2 linked regions of the Anolis sagrei genome follow. The protein of the gene in region 2 purifies or fractionates together with the protein of the main gene of each other region. This does not show direct contact. Links are inferred from orthologs where the notes say so. Each region holds a gene or a part of one and is shown on either strand. Other genes may lie near its edges.

Evidence for each region. Proteins that work in one complex are often made in the same cells at the same time.
Region 1: the proteins of BCAP31 (region 2) and CYB5A purify together in Homo sapiens (co-immunoprecipitation; 4 studies listed by BioGRID and IntAct, with this or other methods). This does not show direct contact. The link is inferred for Anolis sagrei from reciprocal best matches to the Homo sapiens genes BCAP31 and CYB5A.

The regions. Positions count from the first base shown.
Region 1 is NC_090024.1:72,518,964-72,526,777, forward strand, and holds the start of CYB5A (cytochrome b5), read right to left. Parts: upstream 3,379-7,814; 5' UTR 3,268-3,378; coding exon 3,115-3,267; intron 1-3,114.
Region 2 is NC_090022.1:177,894,613-177,903,183, forward strand, and holds the start of BCAP31 (B-cell receptor-associated protein 31), read right to left. Parts: upstream 3,260-8,571; 5' UTR 3,165-3,259; exon of another isoform or gene 3,148-3,164; intron 1-3,147. UniProt on the Homo sapiens protein: Functions as a chaperone protein. Is one of the most abundant endoplasmic reticulum (ER) proteins.

The DNA of each region.
Region 1 (7,814 bases), on a different chromosome or scaffold from region 2:
ATTGTACATACATCAACACAACCCATAGCTTGGGGTGGGGGGCAGAAAGAATAACTACTGAAGGGGTTGTACTGTGTACGTTTGTGGAAACCATTATAGTAGAATCATTTTAGGTTTGCCATAAGTTGGAATGTTTTTATTAATAATGACCTCAAGACACACAAAAAGTTGTATCTTAATAGACTTAAGATTTCTATATGCTTAGATATAAGTTTTACATTTTAATTAGCATTTTAAGGTTCTTTGATACTATGCTTGGTTGGCATTAACTCATTTGGAACCTACCCAAAGACCTAAGGAATCAACCATTTAATCACCACCCTTCTCCAACCTGCTACCCTCCAGGTATTATTAACTACAATATATATTATCCTTGAAAAATGAATAATAATAATATATGCATGGGCATGTGAAAAATGTGGTCAGCAAAGAACATATCCAAAGAGTCAGAAAGGTTTTGAAGAGCAAATTAAATGATGGAAATACAATCAAGGCTATCACCACCTGGGCCATCCCCATGTTTAGATACACTGCTGGAATTGTGAAGTGGACACAAGCAGAGCTGGATGATCTGGACAGAAAAACAAGAAAACTGATGACAATCCACTACTCATTGCACCCGCATAGTGATGTCAACAAACTTTACCTGCCCAGAAAATCAGGAGGCAGTGGGCTTCTGCAAGTGAAACAAACAGTAGAAGAAGAGAAACATGCACTGGCAGATTATGTGAAAGATAGTCAAGAACCAACATTGAGGGAAGTCAATAGTAGTAAATTGCTTAAAGTGCAAAAGACAAAGAGTGAATACTGTAAAAAACACAATGCAGAGCAGAAGAGAAAAGTGGCAAAAGAAGGCTCTCCATGGACAGTTCCTGGGGAAAATTGAGAGCCAAATTGACAAAGAAAAACATGGTTATGGCTCACAAATGGGACTCTGAAAAAGGAGATGGAGGGCCTGATTCTGGCAGCCCAAGAACAAGCCATTAGAACAAATGTAATCAAAGCCAAAATTGAAAAGTCGGTGACAGATCCCAAGTGAAGACTCTGCAAGGAAGCAGATGAAACAATAGTTCACATCCTCAGCTGCTGCAAGAAGATCGCACAGATAGACTACAAGCAGAGGCCTAACACCATTGCTTGGATGCCTCATTGGAACTTGTGCCACAAAAACCATTTGCCTGCGACAAAGAACTAGTGGGATCACAAGCCAGAAAAAGTTACAGAAAATGAACACGTCAAACTAGCCAATGCTTTCCCTCCCTTGTGTTATACCCATATACTCTGGGACTTCTAAATTCAGACTGACAGAGTTTTGGAGCACAATATTCCTGACCTCACGATCGTGTTAAAAAACAAAGTATGGATTGTCGATGTTGTAATCCCAGGCGACAGCAGGATTGAAGAGAAACAACTGGAAAAGCTGGCACAATATGATGATTTAAAGATCGAACTGCGAAGACTCTGGCACAAGCCAGTAAAGGTGGACCCAGTGGTGATCTGCACACTGGATGCAATGCCTAAAGACCTTGACCTGCACTTAAAAACAACCAGCACTGACAAAATTACCCTATGTCCGTTGCAAAAGGCCACCCTATTCGAACTGCACACATTATTCGCCAATACATCACACAGTCCTAGATACGTCAGAAGTGTCTGAAGTGTGATCAAGTACAAAAGCCAGCATAGTGATCTTGTTTGCTGTGTACTGATCTTATGTATCAAACAATAGTAGTAGTAATAATAACACTTTATTTATAACCCACCATCTCCCCCCAAAGGGACTCAGGGCGGTTAACATCCTCAGTTAGTTTGCTGACGATGCAATAAATCAGAATGATAATGTGAACAGTTCATCATCATCATAATTATCGTGTATTTGTATATAGCACCTTGACTGCACAAGATGTTTCAAAACAACAAAGCAATTCCCTGCCCTCTGACTTAGAATAATTAATTATTTTCTCACACTGAGAACACTAAATATACTTAGGAAAAACGACAATGGTAATGAACCCTTTATCCTTGAACAACTGATAAGGGGATCATGCTGCTTGGGTAGGCACGGAACAGTAATCATCTGATTACCAAAGGTTTGCTTGCTCTGCAACAAAATTTTGCAATCTTGCTCTTCCAAGTCAAACAAGTTCACATTGGATCATTCTAAGAGTCTGTCGTAAGACACAGCTGCACATTCAAAATGCTGCATATATATGGAGCCCACAGTGGTGCAGTGGGTTACACCACTGAGCTACTGAGCTTGTTGACCAAAAGGTCGCAGGTTCAAATCCGGAGAGCGGCGTGAGCCTCCGCTGTCAGCCCCAGCTTCTGCCAACCTAGCAGTTTGAAAACATGCAAATGTGAGATCAATAGGTGGGAAGGTAACAGTACTCCATGCAGTCATGCTGGCCACGTGACCTTGGAGGTGTCTACGGACAATGCCGGCTCTTCAGCTTAGAAATAGAGATGAGCACCACACCCCAGAGTTGGACACGACTGGTCTTAATGTCAGGGTAAACCTTTACCTTTATACATACATACACACACACATATATATACACACCCATAACTGAAGCCAGTGTTCAGTTTTACAAAAAGCCTAACAAGGTACAAGAAGTTCACTGCACCATACCTTTTAATAAAGCAAATAAAGTCTGAGAATCAATACTGAAGAGAAGTTGTCAAGGGAAATTGCTTCTTGATCTCTGAACCAATATATCCTCCAAGTGTCAAGGTGGATCTATATGAGAGAATGAATGCATTTTGACACCAAGACTATACGATCACGGGAGTTGTAGTTAGGCGAGGCACCAGCATTCTTTGGCAGAGAAAGCCTATGAAACTACAATCCCCATACCTCCATGGCACTGAGCTAAAAGTATTGACAAACTGCATTAATTCTGCAGTACAGATGCACCTCTAGTCTTAGTATAATGTAATGTTAGGTTAGTTTGCTGAGACTAAAGACCTTGTAAAACTACATCTCCCATGATTCCACGTTAAAGTGGTGTCAAACTGCATTAATTCTACAGTGCAGATACAAGGTTAAATTCCACCCTTTCCTTCTGAACCTTTAGCCAATGCTTTCCCTCCCTTGCCTTATATTCATATACTCGCCTCCTCTAGGAACTTGGTGAGGTCATAGATGCGGTTGTGCAGGATGATCCAGGTGCTCTGGCTATGGTTGTGCTTCTGGATCTCTTCCAGCGTGTGGTAGCGACCCCGCCATGGCTCCTTCCCGGGCTTGGTCTCACTCTTGGTCTCCACCATCGCCTCTGCCTTCCACCCGGCTGATGCTCTCCTCTAACGCAGGCTCTTACAGCACCTCCGGATCCTAGCCGTAGAACTCTGACCTGGGAGGCCTCGGCGCATGCGCAACGCCAGAGCACGCCCGCCTCTACGCAAGGGAAAGGCGGGGACCTGATCCTCTTGCTTGATTTTCATTGGCCTCGTGGAACGCTTTCGTAACGGATTGGCAGGGCGCCTGTGGGCGGGTCCTGTGTTCCTGCAGAATTCCAAGAAACTCAGGGGCTTGCTTTCCTGGGATGAAATGGGAGGATTGTTGCAGGATCTCGACGTTGTTTTAGGAAACTGAAGTTATTCACCAGGTGACACAAAAAGTAAAACAGATCTCTCCTTCTACTTCAAACTTATTATCCAGAGTATATATGTGTGTATTTATTTATTTATTTATTTATTTAATGCACTTGTATACCGCTAATATCTCAGCCTAAATCGGCGACTCATTGCGGTTTACAACATTTAAAAAACAATATTCAGTTAAAAGCATAAAACACATATACAGTACAAATTATTGGGCCACCAATAACAATCCTATGCATCTCATAACTGGAATCGTAATCCAAAATTCATCGTCCGTGTATAACCAATCCTTAGTCATCACAATTCGTTACAACGGATTAACCGAATGCTTGTTTAAACATCCATGTCTTCAATCTTTTCCGAAACACCATCAGCGAAGGGGCTGATCGTACCTCTATGGGGAGGGTGTTCCAAAGCCGGGGGGCCACCACAGAAAAGGCCCTATCTCTCGTCCCCGCCAGCCGAGCTTGAGAAGCAGGCGGGATCGAGAGCAGGGTCTCCCCGGAAGATCTCAAACTCCTGGTGGGTTCATAGGCAGAGATGCAGTCAGATAGGTAGCTTGGGCCGGAACCGTTTAGGGCTTTAAAGGCCAGCGCCAGCACTTTGAATTCAGCCCGGTAGCAGATCGGTAGCCAGTGGAGTTGGCGCAACAGGGGGGTTGTATGCTCCCTGCGCTCCGCTCCTGTTAAAATCATGGCTGCCGAGCGTTGGACTAGTTGGAGCTTCCGAGTTGTCTTCAAAGGCAACCCCACGTAGAGAGCGTTGCAGTAGTCTAAACAGGATGTAACCAGAGTGTGGACTACCGTGGCCAAGTCAGACTTCCCAAGGTATGGGCGCAGCTGGCGCACAAGCTTTAGCTGTGCAAATGCTCCCCTGGTCACCGCCGAAACCTGGGGTTCCAGGCTCAGCGATGAGTCCAGGATCACTCCCAAGCTGCGAACCTTCATCTTCAGGGGGAGTGTGGCCCCATCCAACACAGGCTGTAACCCTATGCCCTGTTTGGCCTTGCGACTGACCAGGAGTACCTCTGTCTTGTCTGGATTCAATTTCAATTTGTTCGCCCTCATCCAGACCGTCACAGCGGCCAGGCACCGGTTCAGGACCTGGACAGCCTCCTTAGTAGCAGGTGGAAAGGAGTGACAGAGTTGGACATCATCCGCGTACAGATGACACCGTACCCCGAAACTCCGGATGATCTCCCCCAGCGGCTTCATGTAGATGTTAAACAACATGGGAGACAATATTGAGCCCTGAGGAACCCCACAAGACAATGGTTGTGGGGTTGAACAGGTGTCCCCCAACAACACCTTCTGAGATCGACCCTCCAGGAATGACCGGAGCCACTGCAAAACAGTACCTCCAAGACCCATCCCTGCGAGGCGTCCCAGAAGGATACCGTGGTCGACGGTATCGAAGGCCGCTGAGAGGTCGAGCAGCACCAACAGGGACACACTCCCCCTGTCGAGCTCCCGGCGCAGATCATCCACTAAGGCGACCAAGGCTGTCTCGGTACCATGTCCCGGCCTAAAGCCAGACTGTGCCGGGTCTAGATAATCCGTGTCTACCAAGAATACCTGGAGTTGTGAGGCCACCACACGTTCCAAGACTTTGCCCAAGAAGGGGAGATTGGAAACTGGCCGATAGTTGTCGAATTTAGTGGGGTCCAGTGATGGTTTCTTCAACAGCGGTTTTATTATAGCTTGTTTTAAGCTCGCTGGAAACTTGCCTTCCTGAAGGGAAGCATTAACCACCACCTTAACCCACTCAGCCAATCCCCTTCTGGCCTCCTTTAGAAGCCAGGATGGGCAGGGGTCCAGGATGCATGTGGTTGGCCTCATTCCTCCAAGTATCTTGTCCACATCCTCGGGTTTCACCAATTGAAATGAATCCATCAAAACTGGACAAGCAGGTGCTCGTGTTACATCCTCAGAGACTGCCATATACATATACACATATGTATATAAAATGTATATATTATATATACACCATAATTTCTACATATAGGTATATATAACTTTTCAGCACTAGCTATTTTGCAGTTTTCAGAATAGGAGCATAATTCCAGAGAGCATTATAGATTGTGGTATCACCTATTAATCAATTGACACTGTTTTATGGAAAGGGAAATAAGAATATTTTAGAAAAATTACATTTTTGGAGACAAAATCAAGTGGATACTATGGCATAACTGATCTGGAAATCCAAATCAGTTCAAAATTCGAAATCGTCCACATGGTTGACTGAGATAGTAACACTTCTGCTTTCTCGTGGGTAATAAATAAAATTAATTATTATTATTGCACAAATTTAGTTTCATGAAAAAATGTGTAAAATTACCCATCTGCACTGCCATATAATGCAATTTGAAGTTACATTTATGGTCAGTGTAAATCAGGGGTACTCAAACTTTTTATGCAGAGGGTCAGATCATGGTCCTCCAGACTATTGGGGAGCTGGACAATAGTTTGAAAAAAAATGAATAAATTGCTGTGCACACTGCATGTATCTTATTTGTAGTGCAAAAAGCCATCAAATAACTATTTATTTATTCATTTATTGTATTAGGAGAAAACCAGGGATACAGTTGTAATGTGTTTATATTAAAAAAACCCACAAAGTTTAAAAACTTTGCTTTATATTAAATTTCCTTTGACCAGTAGCTGGCCACTTGGAGTGCCTCTGGTGTTGCTATAAGAAGGTCCTTCATTGTGTATGTGGCAGGGCTAAGACTGCATTGTAATAGGTGGTCTGTAGTTTCTTGCTCACATGTCGTGGACTCCATTTTGTGGCCCCATTTCTTAAGGTTGGTGCCAGAGCACAGGCTGTTCAGCACCTTCCAAGTCGCCCAGTCTTCTGTGTGCCCAGGAGGGAATCTCTCATTCAGTATCAGCCATGGCTTAAGGTTCCAGGTTTTAGCCTGCCACTTTTGGACTCTCACTTGCTGAGGTGTTCCTGCAAGTATTTCTGTAGATCTTAGAATACTATTTCTTGATTATTGCCTTTGTGTGCTGGCTGATATCCAAACAGAGGATGGGCCGGAGATGTCACTGCCTTCATTATTGGCTGCTCCTTCCCAGCAGATGTAAGGTGGTGCAGTACTGGCTAAACAGTATAATTTCTCCAGTGATGCAGGGCATAGACATCCTGTGATAATGCAGCATGTCTCATTAAGAGCCACATCCACTGTTTTAGCGTGATGAGATGTATTCCACACTGAGCATGAGTACTCAGCAGCAAAGTAAAAAAGCACAAGGGCCGATCCCCAGGTTGTGCCTGTCAGCTGTCGTATGATACTGTTTCTAGTTCCCACTTTTTGCTTGATATTCAACCAGTGCTTCTTGTAGGTCAAAGAACAATACAATATCGAAAATGAAGAACAAATTTAACCAACATGAACTTACCCATATTTCAACGGGAAGTGTGGACCTGCTTTTGCTGATGAGGTAGTCAGGATTGCTGTTGTGTGCTTTCCAGTCTTTTCAGACTTATTCTAAGTTTTAAGATTAAGTTTTAGACTTAGTCTACATCTAAAGTTTAGGACAGGGGGCACGTAAATAACCTTGAAGGGCCTCAGCCAGCTCACAGCCCTTAGTTTGGGGACTCCTGGTGTACACTGGTATAATGTAATTTAAGTGCATTGAACTTCATTATATGAGTATACACCATGCATGGGCAAACTTCGGTTTTCCAGGTGTTTTGGACTTCAACTCCTACAATTCCTACCAGCTGTTAGGAACTGGAATCATAGAATCAAAGAGTTGGAAGAGACCTCATGGGTCATCCAGTCCAACCCCCTGCCAAGAAGCAGGAAGCTGAAGTCCACAACATCTGGAGGGCCAAAGCTTGCCCATGCCTGGTCTACACTGACCATCTAATGCAGTTCAAAAATCCATTATATAGCAGTGTAGATTTGGCCATTGTGGGCATATATGAATGTTGTCTCTAAATTTGGGTTGCATTTCAATGATTGCTCATTATGTATGTATATGCTCAAATTTTATTTCTCTGTCTCTAGGGCCTAATTTTACCAGTTTGAAAACATGCAAATGTGAGTAGATCAATAGGCGGGAAAGTAACGGCGCTCCTTGCAGTCATGCTGGTCACATGACCTAGGAGGTGTCCACAGACAATGCCGACTCTTTGGCTTAGAAATGGAGATGGGCATCACCCGAGTCGGACCCGACTAGACTTAATGTCAAGGAAAACCTTTACCT
Region 2 (8,571 bases):
TCTGGGGAGGTTGTCTTGTCTTGACAGGCACAGAAATATACTTAAATAAACATAAGAAGCCTTCTTTTTCACAAGCTGCAGACTTTGTTGAATGGAGGCTGCTCAAGTATTTACATGAGCTCAGAGGAGAATGGAGATGATGCAAAAGCTCTGCAACCTCTTGTTGCACTATTCAAATATTTCACTGAAAACAAAAGCATTCTGAGGCCTGACAAAAGATTTGCAAAAAAAAGAGCGGCATGTTTATCTTTCTATGATTCACTTCCACACCCTACTTTCTAACAAACTTCACAAAAAAACATCACAAAGTCATTGCGAATCTAAACTAACAATCTCATGGAAGAGTTGTTAAAGCCAATGTGGGCGTATCCCACCTGGAACACAACTACAGTCAGTTCACCACATATACTAGGGTGAGGAGTATAGAGCCCATGTGAAAGTGGAAAACCACACACAGAAATTCCTAGACCTTCCAGCATGACTCTATGGCCAGCTTCCACTGGAAGTTGACCACAGAATTGCACTGAAGGACCTTTGGAAAAGGTGCTCTCTTTAGAAATTTTGAGGACCACCAGATAGGAAGTTGGCCATAGTCACACTGGAAGGCCTGGAGATTCCTAGGGTCCACATTTTTTATCAAGTCCATGAATAATCAAATCTGAAAAAGTTATGAGGAAACATGTATAGACCATGTGACACAATAGTTAGAGTAAGGCTTGGGAATATGTGGTTGAACTCCAATTCTTATCAATCCTAGCAAGGTTGACCAAAAGCGAAATACATGGTGTTTCAAAACGACAGACCCAATTTCAAAGCAATATATTTCACAATGGCAACATGTTACAACGACACAAAAAGTTACAAATGGTTTAATGACTTATCAGATTTCACTATTTTGAGCCACAAACACATCTAAAAAAATAACGCTGTAACTTGAGAATATCTAATTAGGCCTTACGTTGCAGGCCTGCCATCTTGTGAATGACTGAGTCTAGGGGCTGTTTGTGTGCCCCACCCTTACAAGGCAGTTCATAGTTGCAGATATATATAGCAAGTTCAAATCAGGTACATATTTTTGAAACACACTAGATTTTTAGTTGATTTGAAATGGCCCATCTAACCTCAGTTCAAAGCAGATATTGTGGATTATGTGCCTTGATTTTGGGGGGCCCTTCCACACAGCCCTATATCCCACAATATCATGGCAAGAAATGGAGCACCCGGAGATGCAGTGGGTTAAACCCCTGTGCCGGCAGGACTGAAGACCCACAGGTCGCAGGTTTGAATCCGGGGAGAGGCAGATGAGCTCCCTCTATCGACTCCAGCTCTTCATGCGGGGACATGAGAGAAGCCTCCCACAAGGATGATAAAAACATCAAATCATCCAGGCGTCCCCTGGGCAACATCCTTGCAGATAGCCAATTCTCTCACACCAGAAGTGACTTGCAGTTTCTCAAGTTGCTCCTGACATGACAAAAAAATGGCAAGAAATGCCACATTATCTGAGTGTGGACTCAGATATCCCAGTTCAAAGCAGATTTCTGCCTTAATATTCTGGGATACAGGGCTGTGTGGAAGGGTCCCGAGTGATATGGCTGTGTGGAACAGGGGTCCTCAAACTAAGGGCTGGGGGCCGGATATGGCCCTCCAAGGTCATTTACCTAGCCCTCGCTCAGGGTCAACCTAAGCTAGGTGTGAATGTTTCAGCTGACCACCTTCATTAGCATTTGAAGGCCTGGCTGAGCCTGGGAAAATGTTCTGTTGAGAGGTGTTAAGATGTGCCTGGTTGTTTCCTCTCTGCTGTTTTGCTGTTGTAATTTTAGAGTTTTTTAATACTGGTAGCCAGATTTTGTTCATTTTCATGGTCTCCTCCTTTCTGTTGAAATTGTCCACATGCTTGTGGACTTCAATTGCTAATGAAGGTGGTCAGCTGAAACATTCACACCTAGCTTCAGCAGAGAGCTCTTTGCCCCACCCCAGTCATTCCACAGATATATAAACCCATTTTCCTATTTCCAACAGACCTCACTACCTCTGAGGATGCTTGCCATAGATGCAGGCGAAACGTCAGGAGAAATGCCTCTAGAACATGGCCCTATAGCCCGAAAAAACCTACAAGAACCTAATTATTGTATTGTTTTAAAGTGTTTTTTGCACTACAAATAAGATATTTTTCAAATTTTTCAAATTATAATCCATCCCTCCAACAGTTTGAGGGGCTATGACCTGGCCCTCTGTTAAAAAGTTTGAGGACCCCTGGTGTGGAAGTACCTAAACTATCTCTCAAAGAGAGAAAAATGGGGGAGGGGGGTAAAATGTGGAGAAAGGAAGAACTGTTTACGCTCCTCTTCAAGTTCCTCTGATAAAAGCTGAGATATCAGTGTAATAAATCAAGCACATGGTGATGAAGACAAACGTAACAAGCACTGAATACCTGCACTCAAACGCATATAGAAATTAGCTCTTCGCTCCACAGAGAGTGTCAGTGAGTGCCCCTGATTAAACTGCAAACTCCAGAGCTCCATGGGGTGTAACCATGGCAGCTAAAATAGAATCATACTGCTATAGCTGTGTGGTGTGACTGGCCCCCAGGGCAGTTAATGGAGTCTGTGGTTTTTGAGAACCAGAGAGGAATTGCGGAGGCTGCTGAACAGGTTGATTCACATCTCTTCCCCCAAGGCCCCGCCTCTGGATCTGCTGGCCCTCTCCATGTTCTCCAATTCCTTGCATTGAACGGCCATGGTTTTCTTTCTTCTTCAAGGCGCCTGGACTCTGCAGAGTTGGAAAACAGAGCAAGGAAAAGACGACACAGGGAAGCAGGCCAGCCCCACACCCAGGGAGGGATGTGGGGCCAGAATAGTTGCACACCATGAAGCTCTGGATGGAGGAGACAGTAAGGATTAATAGGACACACCAGCATGACACAGGAAGTAGGGCAGCTTCCAATGGGGAGGCACCACAGTAAGAAACCAAAACACAGAGGGATAGAAAGTGGGACATGAATGCACTCCAAAAGTGGGGTGGGCAAATTGGTAGGTCCTACTTCCTTCCATAGGGTTATTATTAAGGAATCTCAGTCCTCTTTCCTAGTCAAGGAAGGAGGCCTTTCTCAGCCCGCAGGGAAGCACAGCGACACCCATTACATACCACACTGGCTGCCAGGCCACACTGCCTCCCAGTTGCACAGCTGCCTCAGCCACGACCGGAAACAGGAGCAAGATTAGAGGGGAGGAAGAGGAAGCCAAAAGGTGGGCGGTGCCCTTGGAAGAGTCTCCCCGCCGCCCAATGGGAAGCAGCCCTTCCGCAGCCTGGGGCGGGAAAAGCCTCCAGACAGGCAGCTGCAGGGAAGGCGGAAGTGGTGCCGCGATTGGTGGCGGTGCCTGTCACTCAAACACAGGGTGGGAGGGGAGAGAAGAGGGAGCATTCATAGGAGTTCCTTCCCCCCTTACTCTAGACACAAACTTTTATATCCTACAGTATATGCATTTTTGAGAAAAACTGAGGGCCCTTCTAGACAGGCCCTACATCCCAGGATCTGATCCCAGGTTTTCTGTTAATCCCAGATTATCTGACAGTGCAGACTCATATAATCCAGTTTAAAGCAGAAAAAAGCGGTTGCTCAACTCTGAACTCAAGAACGAAAAAGGGAATGTTGGTGAGCAGGAAAAGAGATTTAAAGATGGGCTCAAAGCCAACCTTAAAATCTCTGGAATAGATACTGAGAACTGGGAAGCCCTGGCCCTTGAGTGAGGTCAGTTGTGACCAGCAGTGCTGGAGAATTTGAAGAGGCACGAGTAGAGGGCAAAAGAGAGAAGCGTGCCAAGAAGAAGGTACATCAAACTAACCCTGACCAGGATCACCTTCCACCTGAAAACCGATGCCCTCACTGTGGGAGAACATGCATGTCATGAATAGGGCTCCACAGTCACCTACGGACCCAAGGCCAGTACACTGACCTTGGAGGACAGTCTTACTCGGGCAACGAGAGATTGCCTAAACCAGCTAAATCAGAAAACTTGGAATCAGATCCTGGTATATAGGGCCTGTCTGGAAGGGTCATGAGATAAAACAGTTGGTAGCATAAGATCTTCTAGGCCAGGGGTTCTCAAACTTTTGTCCAGGGTGGTACAAAGGACTCTTGTCTGCTGGAGCTAGGTGTGAATGTTTCAACTGATCACCTTGATTAGCATATAATGGCCTGACTGTGCCTGGAGCAAACTTTTGTTGAGAGGTGATTAGATGTCCTTGTTTGTTTCCTCTCTGTTGTTGTGTTGTTGTAATTTTAGAGTTTTTTTAGTACTGGTAGCCAGATTTTGTTCATTTTCATGGTTTCCTCCTTTCTGTTGAAGTTGCCCACATGCTTGGGTATTTCAATGGCTTCTCTGTGTAGTCTGACATGGTGGTTGTGAGAGTGGTCCAGCATTTCTGTGTTCTCAAATAATATGATGTACCCAGGCTGGTTCATCAGGTGCTCTGCAAATCTTCTGTTACAGAGTAGGGTGACTAAAATGTTAAAATGTCAAAAACTGTGACACATGCCTTAGGGAGCTGCGTTTGTTTACTTGGAGTAGGGAAGACTGAGAGGTGGCATGATAGCGATTTTCAAACATTTGAAAGAATATAATTTAGAAGAGGGAGTGTGCCTGTTTTCTGTTGCTCCAGATGCTAGGATAAGAAACAATAAATTGAAAGAGAGATGCTGCGTAAACATTAGGAAGAATTTTTGATGGTAGAAGCTGATTGACAGTAGAATGTCCTGGATGCACGGTATCAAAGTACTATTATTGTGTAGCATGAAAGGTGTAGTGGTATGTTGTAATGGTGTGCCTTGAAACCCTATAATAGGGTTTTCTGGGGCTGAGAGTATGTGACTTACCCAATGTCATCAAGTGGTTTCCTTGGGCAAGCAGAGGATCCGATCCCAGTCTTTAGAGTTGCAGTCCAATGATCAAACATTACAATCATTGATTCGTATACAGAACAATAAAGAACTCAAATACTGCCAACCAATTTCAGTATCATTACACCAGGCTAGACTTCTTCCTGTCCATCTAGCCTAGTATCATCTGCTTCTATCCCAAGTGGTAGCAGTTATTGGTGAGTTGAGTGGTACTTTGCCCAACATGTGTACTTCTACTTGCTAGAGAACCCAGGAACCATCAGCATCATATCTGGAAAGATCTTTAGTATCAATGGATGTTCTGACCTAGCAAATTGATGTTCTGACCATACAAGAACAGTCTGTTAAATTCACTTTAATTAATGGATTGTGACATCTTTGGCCCTCAAGATGCTTTTGGACTACACCTGCCAAAATCCTCAACCCATAATCCGGCTTTGCTGGCTGGTTCTCCAGGCTTGTGTGATGAAATTGTTCACTTAAACTCATGGTGAAACAGAAACCTGTGAGCATGTTTCCAATCAATGTGACACTATGGTTATATTGGACTCCTTTAATCAATGTGATGCATTATAACAATGGGTTGGTTACCATGTAGGATTGCCATAAAGACAGTGTCTCTTATCTTGGATATACATAGACCAATAGAGAGACTCCTTGGTGTCCCATGGGATTTGGTTCACCTGTAGATACCAAAATCCATGGATGCTCAAGTTCCATTATATACAAGTAATATGATAAAATAGTGTCCCTCATATGGCATATGAGGGACACTATTTTATCATATGATAAAATAGTGTCCCTATTTTATAATATGATAAAATAGTGTCCCTCATATGGATAAAATAGTGTCCCTCATATAATCCGCCCTGTCCCCGTGGGTGAGAAGGGCGGACTATAAATACTGCAAATAAATATTGGTAAATAAATGAATAAAATGGTAAAATCAAGATTTGCTTCTTGGATTATAAAAAATATTTTCAAGCCATAGATTGTTGAATCCGTTGATGAAAAATCCATGAATATGGAGGGCTGACTGTATATTTTATGTGGATATTAATGTTTTGTGATATTTTAAAAATAATTGCCATCTCAGTTTGTTCTCCCAATGAATTTGGAACTAAAGAGTCTGAGCTAAATTGCAGAGTAAATGTTCAATTCATACCCATTTACCTGGGAGTGAGTTCCCAAGATCCAATGCTCTACTTACATTTTACTAGACCTGACAGGATTGCCCTGTGACGGCCCTTCTACACTACATATAAAATCCAGATTCTGCTTTGAACTGGATTATATGGCAGCATACACTCATATAATCCCGTTCAAAGCAGATAATGTGGATTATCTGTTTTGATAATCGGGATTATATGGCAATGTAGAAGGGGCCTAAATCACATGTCCTTTTCTCATCTATAGAGAAGAGAATGTTGGCTGTGGTCTGGATGTGTTGAATGTTTTTTTTTAAATGATTTGCAATGATTCTCTAATGAGTACTTCCTTCCTTGAAGGCTTTTAAACAGAGGCTGGGGCCCCTTCTACATTGCAATATACAATTCAGATTATCTGTTTTGAACTGGATTATATGGCAGTGTAGACTCATATAATCCAGTGCAAAGTAGATAATGTATATTATGTGATTTTATGATCTGGATTATATGGCTGTGTAGGAGGGGCCTGGGTGGCCACCCATTGAGGGTGCTTTGTGCTTTTCCCACATGGCAGAGAGTTGGACTAGATGGTTCACATGGTCTCTTCCAAATCTATTATTCTACTAGCTTGGATACCCGGTGGTGCCTGAGTTATTTGAAAAAGGCCTTGTTTGTTTTGGGGTGTTAGGTAATATCATTTAGTTAATTATTAGAAAGAATAGATTTCATTTTTTATGAATACTCCCATTAGAAAATACATAATTAAAGTCACGACAGAGTTATATACAGCATAGTAAAATAACAGTACTCATATTGGGAAACGAAAAGATCAAAGAACAGAACTGCATCATCTCACTACCTCTGAGGATGCTTGCCATAGATGCAGGTGAAACGTCAGGAGAGAATGCCTCTAGACCATGGCCATACAGCCCGAAAAAACCTACAACAACCCAGTGATTCCAGCCATTAAAGCCTTCGACAATACATAGAACTGCATAAGCTTAAATGTCCCCCCACACTTTTTTTTATATATACCCTGAAAAAAACTTAATAAAAGTTTATTTTTTTAAAAAGATTTCTTTTTTCAACAGAAACTTTATTGTGGCAACCAGGAGAAAAGAAGCTCCGTTTGTCTATCAATAAATGTTGTTTTAATTTCATGAAAAAATACATAACGATGTGGGTGAACTATAACCTGTTTGTGGAGGCCAGAGGCTGTCTGTGTAAGTGGACACCTCCGCCACATACACATTTTTCAATTTTATTATGTGTATAAATAAATGAGTATCTGATTCCCAAAAAGATAAATGCCTGTTTTTGCTTCTACCTCCACTTTAATCCAAAAGTTTATGCACAAGCTCATGTGACCAGCTGTGATTTCTACTCTTCTTAGAAGAGGGCTCAAAAAATGGGGAAAGGCACCTTGGCTACTAGAATAATGAAGAAATCTAGTCTGAAAACAAAAGGTTTTCATTCGCAGTTTACTTATTCTATAAATTGATTTAATAGTGCCACTGTCTACAACGCACATTGCAACATTAAAAAGCCAGAAAGACCAGTATCCACTAATAGCAGTGATGCAAATGTATCTAAACATATAGACATTCAAGTGATAATAACTATTTATTTATTTGACCAGTCATATGACCATTTCAAAATACAACATGGGTAAAAGACAAGGCAAAAAAGTAAAGGACAGAAGCTGACCTTCTATTTACAGTCAGAATCTTATTTTCCTGGTTCTTCTTTCAGGAAATCTGCTCTTTTCTTAATAGCTTTCAGAATAAAAAGGCTTACTCTGATTATGCTGGATCTTTCCTGTCCTTGCAAGAGGAATGCCATTTCTGTTGGAGGACCTGCAGTTGGATAATATCGGGTGTAACTATCTGTATCGCAGTTCAGTATATGCTGGACAATCAATTAAGAAATGTTCAATATCTTCCACAGTTTGTTCTCCCCATAAGCAGAATCGTTCACTTCTTGGGATGTTACGGTAACACCCGGTTTGCATCTTAATACTGAGTTTTCAAACCTAGCTCTACTATATATTCTTCCTAAGGGTAGCGGTAGTGGAATAGTCAGATAGTGTTCTAAATGAATATTCCTTTTGTGGGAAGCTAAGAATCTTGTGGCAGAAGACCTACCTATGCTTGCTAGATCCAACTGAGCATAGATATCTCAAGAGCACTTGCTTTCCCTTAGGTCAGTGTTTCTCAACCTGGGGGTTGGGACCCCTGGGGGGGGGGTCGCAAGGGGGTGTCAGAGGTGTCACCAAAGACCATCAGGAAACAGTATTTTCTGTTGGTTATGATAGTTCTGTGTGCTAAGTTTGGTTCAATTCCATCATTGGTGGAGTTCAGAATGCTCTTTGATTGAATCTGAACTATAAATCCCAGGAACTACAACTCCCAAATGTCAAGATCTAGTTTTCCCAAACTCCACCAGTTGATCACATTTGGGCATATTGAGTATTTGTGCCAAATTTGTGCCAGATCCATCATTGTTTGAGTCCACTGTGGTTTC